Arabidopsis thaliana: one gene and its partner. The protein of the gene in region 1 interacts with the protein of each later gene in a pairwise test. Each region holds a gene or a part of one and is shown in the gene's direction. Other genes may lie near its edges.

Region 1 (4,527 bases):
TGGTATATATGAAACTGTTTATAAATGGAAGATGAGCTAGTTGTGTACGGAATGAGGTTTTGGTACCTTACATCGAAAAAGCTACATTATGTAGTTTTGTCATCGCCATGAGGCCCATGACCATATCTCTTTTCGAATCCATTTTTTTAGTTACCTTTTTCTTTATTCACGACATGGCTACTTTCTTTAGGACGTGCGTGAGTTCTTATATACAACATAATCACGTAATGCGTGAGCATTTATGAATACAGCTAAAGAATTGAATCAAACTCACATGAATTGAGAGAACAAAGTATATGTGGTTATGACGATTCACATGATTCCTATGAAACAATGCTCTTCAACACAAGAATCTAAGGATTGCACACCAGCGAGAAGATGACTGAGACACTAATAAGAGAAAGCTAGAACTCTGAACTTAAAATCATGAATGGAGATGATAAAAAAGGACTTCTGAGCAAATGCTGTGGACACTCATGAATGGGGGTAAATCTTGACAGATTGTGTAGTGGTTTTCATTGGAAAATGAACCATACTTCTCGGACCCCGTATCAACAATATAGGTTCTATTTTATTGGTTTGAAAAACTAGAGTGACCATCACGGCTTCAATCTTCTCGCGTCAACTCTATTTCAAACTTCCCATCAGACTCTGTGAAACAATCGGGGACAAGGAAATCTAGATAGATGACGAAACCTAAGCTTATGTAGGAAATAATTATATTTCAATCTAACAATAAAAGTGACATGGATTTGAAAATGATACAAAAGATGGGTCTCTACGACAAGACAAGGCTTCTAAGATTTGAGAATGACACAAAAGATGGGTCTCTACGACAAGACAATGCTTCTAAGAAAAGTAGAAAAGTGAGGTCTACAGTCTAACATACAACATAATCAATATTAGCCATGGATGTAAGTGAATTCTGTAATTCTTGTTTTGAAATGGACGAATCTCATCCAAAAATGTATGTAAAGAGCTTCTTATTGATTCAACTTGGCCGTGAAAAGAGAAAACAAACAGAGAAGCATAAAAAGGATCCACCTTTCCCGATCAAACAAAACGAGTAAGGGAGAAGTAATCCAATTTCAGACTTACACTCATACAGATTTTTTCCGAAGCATCTCCTCTGATGGAAGCTCCAAAGTAGCTCCCGCGTGTTCCTGACTTGCTTTCATCTCTACGACACAGAAAAATCAAATTTCCAAAGATATGAGCTTTCACTCACGCATTTCAACAAACAGATGGTGCGCAAGATAAAAAGAGTCAGAACGAACCATATCCGCCGCGTTCGTTGAGTTTAGCCTGGACGATCATGGTGGAAATGAACTGCGTCGCTTCACGCGCCTCTTCTAGAAGGCGAGTGATGTCGGAGTTAGAAGCCACGAGGCGATTCTCTTCGAATTTCTTACGGATCTCGGACGCCGAAGCTTTTAGCATCTCGGTATCTCCGGCGAATGATTTCTTTGTTGCCCTGAGCAGTGCTCTGTACGCGATCAACGCTTCTCCGGTCACCATTTCTGCTCTTTCCCCTTTCAACCTCCGCCGTCGTCTCCCTCCCAAAATTGGATTTAGAAATTTGGTCGCCGACAACCTTCTGATCAACTTCGAGTTTCATTGGGCCTTTACAACTTTCATGAATAAGCCCAATTTTGGCCCATTAATGGATTATTTCGGATCATACCCGTTCAAGCTGGGTTAACCCGAATCTTTCGTATCCTTGAGACAATTTACATGTGTATACTTATTATGGTTTCTCGATGAGTTTCAATCAGCGAATGCTTTGTCTGATTGTTCACTTCCTCCCTCGAAGTGTCTTCACCATTTCAAAGAGGTACGATTTTGTGTTTATAATCGTAGATTCCTTTCGCTGTTTTGATGTTATCGATCTGTACGAAACCCTAGATCATTGAGTCTGACCAATTCTGAAATTCGTCTCTTCGTTTGCCATTTATGTTTGAGAAATTCTGATACATGTTGTCATGTTGATCTCTTTATGTTTGGTTGACCAATTCTGAAATCTGAAATTCGTCTCTTCGTTTGCCATTTATGTTTGAGAAATTCTGATACACGTTGATCTCTTTATGTTTGGTTAATTCCTGCCAGTTTAGATAGAGATGGATCATGTATACAAAGGTCAACTGCAAGCGTATGCCCTGCAACATAATCTGGAGCTACCAGTGTATGCGAATGAGAGAGAAGGGCCTCCTCATGCTCCTAGATTTAGATGTAATGTTACATTCTGTGGACAGACTTTCCAGAGCTCTGAATTCTTTCCGACACTAAAATCGGCTGAACATGCCGCTGCAAAAATTGCAGTTGCTTCTTTGACGCCACAAAGTCCAGAGGCTAGTTCCTCACACTCTTTTTGGACTACAAGTTATGTGCTTTTTCAACATTTGTTTAAATTTTGATTTTCAAATTTTTGTTGTTTCAGGGAATTGATGTTGCCTACAAGAACCTGTTACAAGAAATTGCACAGAAAGAGAGTTCTCTGTTACCATTTTATGCAACTGCTACATCTGGTCCATCGCATGCGCCTACTTTTACTTCAACTGTTGAGTTTGCTGGTAAAGTTTTCAGTGGAGAAGAGGCGAAAACCAAAAAGTTGGCTGAAATGAGCGCTGCTAAAGTTGCATTCATGAGTATCAAAAATGGGAACTCGAACCAGACCGGATCGCCTACTTTGCCTAGTGAGAGACAAGAAGATGTAAATTCAAATGTGAAGAGCAGTCCACAAGAGATCCATTCTCAACCTTCTTCCAAGGTGGTGATGACCCCTGATACCCCATCAAAGGGGATTAAAGTGAATGAAGATGGTTAGTTTTCTTTGAATACTACACTACATGAATAATCCGTTGGTTTGTTTGTTAAAGGAAAAACTCTCTTTCTTTGTTATAACTTGTGGTCCAATCAGAGGGACGTATTTTCCTGAGATAGGTAGGAAACAGCTATGAAATAAGAAAGCCAACCTTACTTTAACTGCATGAAATGGATTCCAATTTCAGTTTAATGCTAAATGGTCAAGATGGTTAATTCATTCAAAACTCATGCTCTACAGTCTTGATTCTGTGCAGAATTTCCAGATCTTCATGATGCACCAGCCAGTAATGCTAAGGAGATTAACGTTGCTTTGAATGAGCCTGAGAATCCTACAAACGATGGTACTCTTAGTGCACTAACTACTGATGGTATGAAGATGAACATTGCTTCTTCTTCTTTGCCTATACCTCACAATCCTACAAACGTTATTACTCTTAATGCACCAGCTGCCAATGGTATCAAGAGGAACATTGCTGCTTGTTCTTCGTGGATGCCTCAGAATCCCACAAACGATGGTAGTGAAACATCATCATGTGTAGTAGATGAGAGTGAGAAAAAGAAGCTCATAATGGGAACTGGCCACCTGAGTATACCAACTGGCCAACATGTAGTTTGTCGCCCATGGAACCCCGAGATAACTCTTCCTCAAGACGCGGAGATGCTCTTTAGAGATGATAAATTTATAGCCTATCGTCTTGTGAAGCCATAACGACATCATCATCTTTGATGCATAATAAGTGTAGAGATAGAATGTTAAGGTAAGCTATATCTCATCTGTTTGTAGAAATAGAATGCTTCTCGTCTCTGGTTTTCTTAAGCAATATGCTATGTAGTATGTATACTGTGTAATGACTAATTTTTGTTTTAAAGCATTGTGTTTATTAGAAACAAGGCGAGATTAAATGTTAATAGATTATGGAAAAGCTTAACAGAATAAATATTAAATAGTAAGATGTAGACATAAGCAAAACCAGCTAGATAAGTAACCGCTTCAAGTAGAATATTTGTAACGATAACCGAATATAATTAGAGACACTAGAGTAGAGGTAAGCAAAATATTTGGGAACAGCAATTCCATCACGATATTAGATATTCGAGACCGGTGCGGAGATGTGCTGATGATTTTCGGAAGACATTCAGGTTGTACATAGCTAAGTCCATATTGGTACCCACAAGTGCTGATTTTCCGAACAGATCCTGGTTGTGAACGAAGCAGGGTGTGCCAGCAGTGCCAAGGCACAGAGTCCTTATTTTCTCTCTTAAATTTTAGGGTCCTAATTTATAGGAATTTTTATTTTTCTAGATAAAATTACAATGGTTGAATAGAACTACAAGTGTATTACGTTTACAAGAGACAGTAAACACTGCCACGTAAACTAAAATTTTTTGGATTTAAAGGTTTAAAGGGGATATTTTTTTTTTTAGCACAGAACCCAAAATAATATTGAGTCGGGCCTGGAACGAAGTGAGACTAAATTTTCGACGAAAGAAGTTATAACACAAAAGTCTGGAGAGGCAACAAAGGTAGTCTGTCTCTGGGTAATATTTGAACAACCTTTTCTCACTCTCACATAAGAAAAGATTCCCTAGCTTAGAAACAGCCATGGGCGTGAACTACCTTCTCCAAAACAATGAAAAGCAATTGTTTTCTTTAAAAGTGGAAAATTAACTATTAAATTTGAAAAAACAACCCAAACATTTTTT
Region 2 (3,934 bases), about 18 Mb from region 1:
CCTTTACACCTTGTTCCTATATTCTCTAAGACCTTCAGCGGTCTCTAAGAACTAATAAGTGATCAGTTCAATTAGAATCAAAACTTAGCACAAGTATTTTAGTTTAGAGGATTTTCAGTATAACATTCAGTTTATTTTTCGGTTTTGGTAAAGAAAACCGAAGCTGGATGTGTTGGCCTTTGTTTGTATGGAGTTTTGCTCCGTTTAGGATCAGTTAGTCAGCCCTGATCATGACTCTGCTTTTACTTGCAGGTGTGTGCAAGAAAAAGGAAGACTTTTGTTTTGGTGGAAGGTGGATTACTATATGGATTTGGGTGGATGGGGTTTGGAAGCCTTGGGTTCCCGGACAGAGGAGTTTCAGACAAAGTTCTTAGGCCAAGAGTATTGGAGTGTCTGAAACCACACCGTGTCTCTCAAGTTAGCACCGGTTTGTATCACACCATTGTGGTCACTCAACGTGGTCGCATTTTTGGGTTTGGAGATAACGAAAGAGCTCAGCTTGGTCACGACTCACTCCGTGGCTGCTTAGAACCTACCGAAATCTTTCTCCATTGTGGCCGTTCTCGTAGCCGGCTTTGTTGATCCAAGGTATAGATAAACAACCATGTTTGTATGAACCGGATTGAGATTGGATTTACCGGTTAGTGTATCTTGTATTGATTTGTATCTGTTTGATTTCTTCAAGTTGTGAGAGTAATAGAAGATATTTCCAGACACCTTAGTGCAGAGAATTATGACATGAGTTAATTAATCTAAGAAGTTTTACAACTTCAACTACATAATAACAAATACCTTAACTCTTGGTGATAGTAGATCCACTCAAGACTTAGCAAAATATCTTAGTCTTTAGAACATTATAGAATGTAAAAGTAAAAAACTGAAAACAACCTAGAAGCAAATGAAGGAATCATTGTAACGACCAAGATGCAAAAGAATAATAAATCACTCAACATCGATCTCATCATCTTCAGGAAACATGTGTGCAACAACTTCAATCTTTACTTTTATCTTCTCCAATTTCTCCAGAGGTGAATTCAATATGCTTTGAATTTCTTCAGCAAATGTTTTCATGATCCCTAGATACGGAGGAACACCAACATCATTGAGGATTTCGTAGATTGTGGCTTTGATTTGTTCTTCATCTTGACCAATGAACTCGTCTCGACCATATCTTTGAAGTTGATTTGTAGTCCTTGTTTTAACCTTACTGGACATGTAGTCAGATTCTCCATCACTATTTGGCTCAGGCACTTTTGTGTAGACAACTTCAAAATCAAACAAAAAAGTCTGACGATCTTGAGTTGTTTCTTTCGAATAATAGATTGGCGTCACCATACATGTACTATCCGATACATCATCCACAATACACTCCATAATCTCTATGCAATGATGGGAAAAAAAGAAGTTAAGAGAGAGTTAGGTTTTTCAAGCTATGAGAGTGTATAAAAAATATTTGTGTGAAAGGAAAATTGTAACCAGGAATGAGTAATTGTTGGGATTGAATACGAGATTTTAGGAAATAGTTACAATAGGAATTCTTCATTAAATTAGATTGATCATAACTACAAAAGTTAACATTCATACATATCGTTAAGGTTCGATGAACCATAAATAGATATTCCGATATTTAAAATATCTTATATGATTGTATTAATAAAATATCTCATATATTCAAAATCATATTTCACTTAACTATTTCGCTGTCAAAAAATATCCTACCACTTTTCCAACATGACAAAAAAAAAACATACTACTTTTCTATCGTGGCACGTTTAAAAAATCATATCATTCCAAAAAGATTTACTCGTCAGATTAAATATCTAATCATCATTGGATTCACAATTTGTTTATTTACCTACCAGACACTTTAAAAAAAAAGATTAACTACAGAATAATTTTGTCTAAAAAGAAACGGATAAGAACACGTAAGACATGTCAGTCTTATCTTAAAATCCAAGTCAGCATCTCGTGTAATAATAATCTCGTACCTTTATAAAACCCCTCATTGTCTTCAACAAAAACATAACACATTTCAAGCATTGGATTAATCAAAGACAAAGAAAACGAAAATGTTGGCAATATTTCAGAAAGCTTTTGCTCACCCACCGGAAGAACTCAACAGTCCGGCTTCTCATTTCTCCGGCAAAACTCCTAAACTTCCCGGCGAAACTCTCTCCGACTTCCTCTCTCATCACCAAAACAATGCTTTCTCTATGAACTTCGGCGACTCCGCCGTCTTAGCTTACGCTCGCCAAGAAACCTCTCTTCGTCAAAGGTATATACTAATATACATAAAACACATATATACAAGTCAAATCTCTAAATCCAATTCATAGATTCATAATGGTTTTGTTGTTTTGCTCAGGTTGTTCTGTGGACTAGATGGGATCTACTGTATGTTTCTAGGGAGATTGAATAATCTCTGTACATTGAATCGACAATACGGTTTATCTGGGAAGAACTCAAACGAGGCAATGTTTGTGATCGAAGCTTATCGAACACTTCGTGATCGTGGTCCTTACCCAGCAGATCAAGTTCTTAGAGGTCTTGAGGGAAGCTTCGCTTTCGTTGTCTACGATACTCAAACTTCCTCTGTTTTCTCAGCTCTGAGTTCTGATGGAGGAGAGAGTCTTTACTGGGGAATTTCTGGAGACGGATCTGTTGTAATGTCTGATGATATTCAGATCATAAAGCAAGGCTGTGCTAAATCGTTTGCTCCTTTCCCTAATGGTAAACCAAAACTTAAGTTTTTCATTAGCCCTATAAAGAAAGAAACATACTTTTGAGTTTAGATCTTGATGTGTGTTTTGTGTTTTTGTTATTGCAGGATGTATGTTTCATAGTGAGACAGGGCTTAAGAGCTTTGACCATCCGACTAATATGATGAAGGCAATGCCGAGGATTGATAGTGAAGGTGTTCTTTGTGGAGCTAGTTTCAAAGTTGATGCTTGTTCTAAGATCAATAGTATCCCTAGAAGAGGAAGTGAAGCTAACTGGGCGCTGGCTAATTCTCGTTGATTTTGCTTCTAGTTTCGTTAACTCTTGCTTCTTTGTTGCGTTTTCTTTTTATGTACTCTTGTTTATGTAAATATAGCCTTATGAAGACGATAAAGAAATAAAATTGATTTGCTTCTTCGTGACATAGCAGTCTTTACTTAGACAACTGTGTGATAAATTCGCAATCTCACTCTTTGATAGATAAGAGGGAGGGAAGAAAGCAGTGGTAAAGACAAAACTGTGTTGATTTTGTGAATTTAGAAGTTTACAATAGCAAAAAAGAAACTTTGGTCGACTTTTATCATTCATCGTTCCACATGTCTGTAAATTCATCAGGCTCCAATGGGTTTGAGAGTTCATGCATCTTTCTTCTTGTTTTTGCCTTTATTTTCTTAGCAAATTTCCCAGCTTTATTTCTTTTCTCCAAAGCTCGAATCTAAAAGGCAGGAAATTGGAATATATGAGAACTCTGACAGATAATCATATATAGCAATGTGATCTATCAAGTTGCTTATAGAAGAACCAAGTACCTGGTTTGGAGATACATAGAATGGGTTCTCGTAAAGCGTTGTACCTCCAAAGCTGCCTCCAAATATCTTAATTGGATTTAAACAAAACCTTGGACCAACCTGTCATCAGGTTTTTACTTCAATCAACAACTAATTCTTCAGAAATTATGTAAGTTAGTGTTAGTATATATATAGTCATGGCCTGACCTCAATAAGAGTCATTTTATCCAGATCGCCTCGTGCAATCTTGTCTGACTCGTTATGAGGTACCGATATCTGCAATGGAAGCCTTGGCTAGTTAAACGAAACGTTTCCAAACTGAAATGAAATGAGAGCATGAGAGATGCTAAAATTTCAACTTACCTGGTAATTACGGAACCATATATGGTCATCAACAATGGAGAAAACAAACACATGGTCATGGTAAG

What was found.
Region 2: the proteins of DRB4 (region 1) and AT3G15450 interact in a two-hybrid assay, tested with the Arabidopsis thaliana proteins (one large-scale study listed by BioGRID).

The regions. Positions count from the first base shown.
Region 1 is NC_003074.8:23,224,754-23,229,280, reverse strand, and holds DRB4 (double-stranded-RNA-binding protein 4), read left to right. Parts: upstream 1-1,768; 5' UTR 1,769-1,834; intron 1,835-2,106; 5' UTR 2,107-2,117; coding exon 2,118-2,348; intron 2,349-2,437; coding exon 2,438-2,819; intron 2,820-3,077; coding exon 3,078-3,532; 3' UTR 3,533-3,755; downstream 3,756-4,527. Other genes in the region: AT3G62810 (complex 1 family protein / LVR family protein), read right to left, coding at 1,101-1,180, 1,278-1,518. UniProt on the Arabidopsis thaliana protein: Double-stranded RNA-binding protein involved in RNA-mediated post-transcriptional gene silencing (PTGS). Functions in the trans-acting small interfering RNAs (ta-siRNAs) biogenesis by binding and assisting DICER-LIKE 4 (DCL4). Required for DCL4 activity.
Region 2 is NC_003074.8:5,210,981-5,214,914, forward strand, and holds AT3G15450 (aluminum induced protein with YGL and LRDR motifs), read left to right. Parts: upstream 1-2,003; 5' UTR 2,004-2,069; coding exon 2,070-2,275; intron 2,276-2,365; coding exon 2,366-2,730; coding exon of another isoform or gene 2,731-2,786; exon of another isoform or gene 2,787-2,827; coding exon 2,828-3,018; 3' UTR 3,019-3,141; downstream 3,142-3,934. Other genes in the region: AT3G15430 (Regulator of chromosome condensation (RCC1) family protein), read left to right, coding at 253-582; AT3G15440 (RING/U-box protein), read right to left, coding at 943-1,374; AT3G15460 (Ribosomal RNA processing Brix domain protein), read right to left, coding at 3,299-3,433, 3,528-3,626, 3,714-3,782, 3,870-3,934.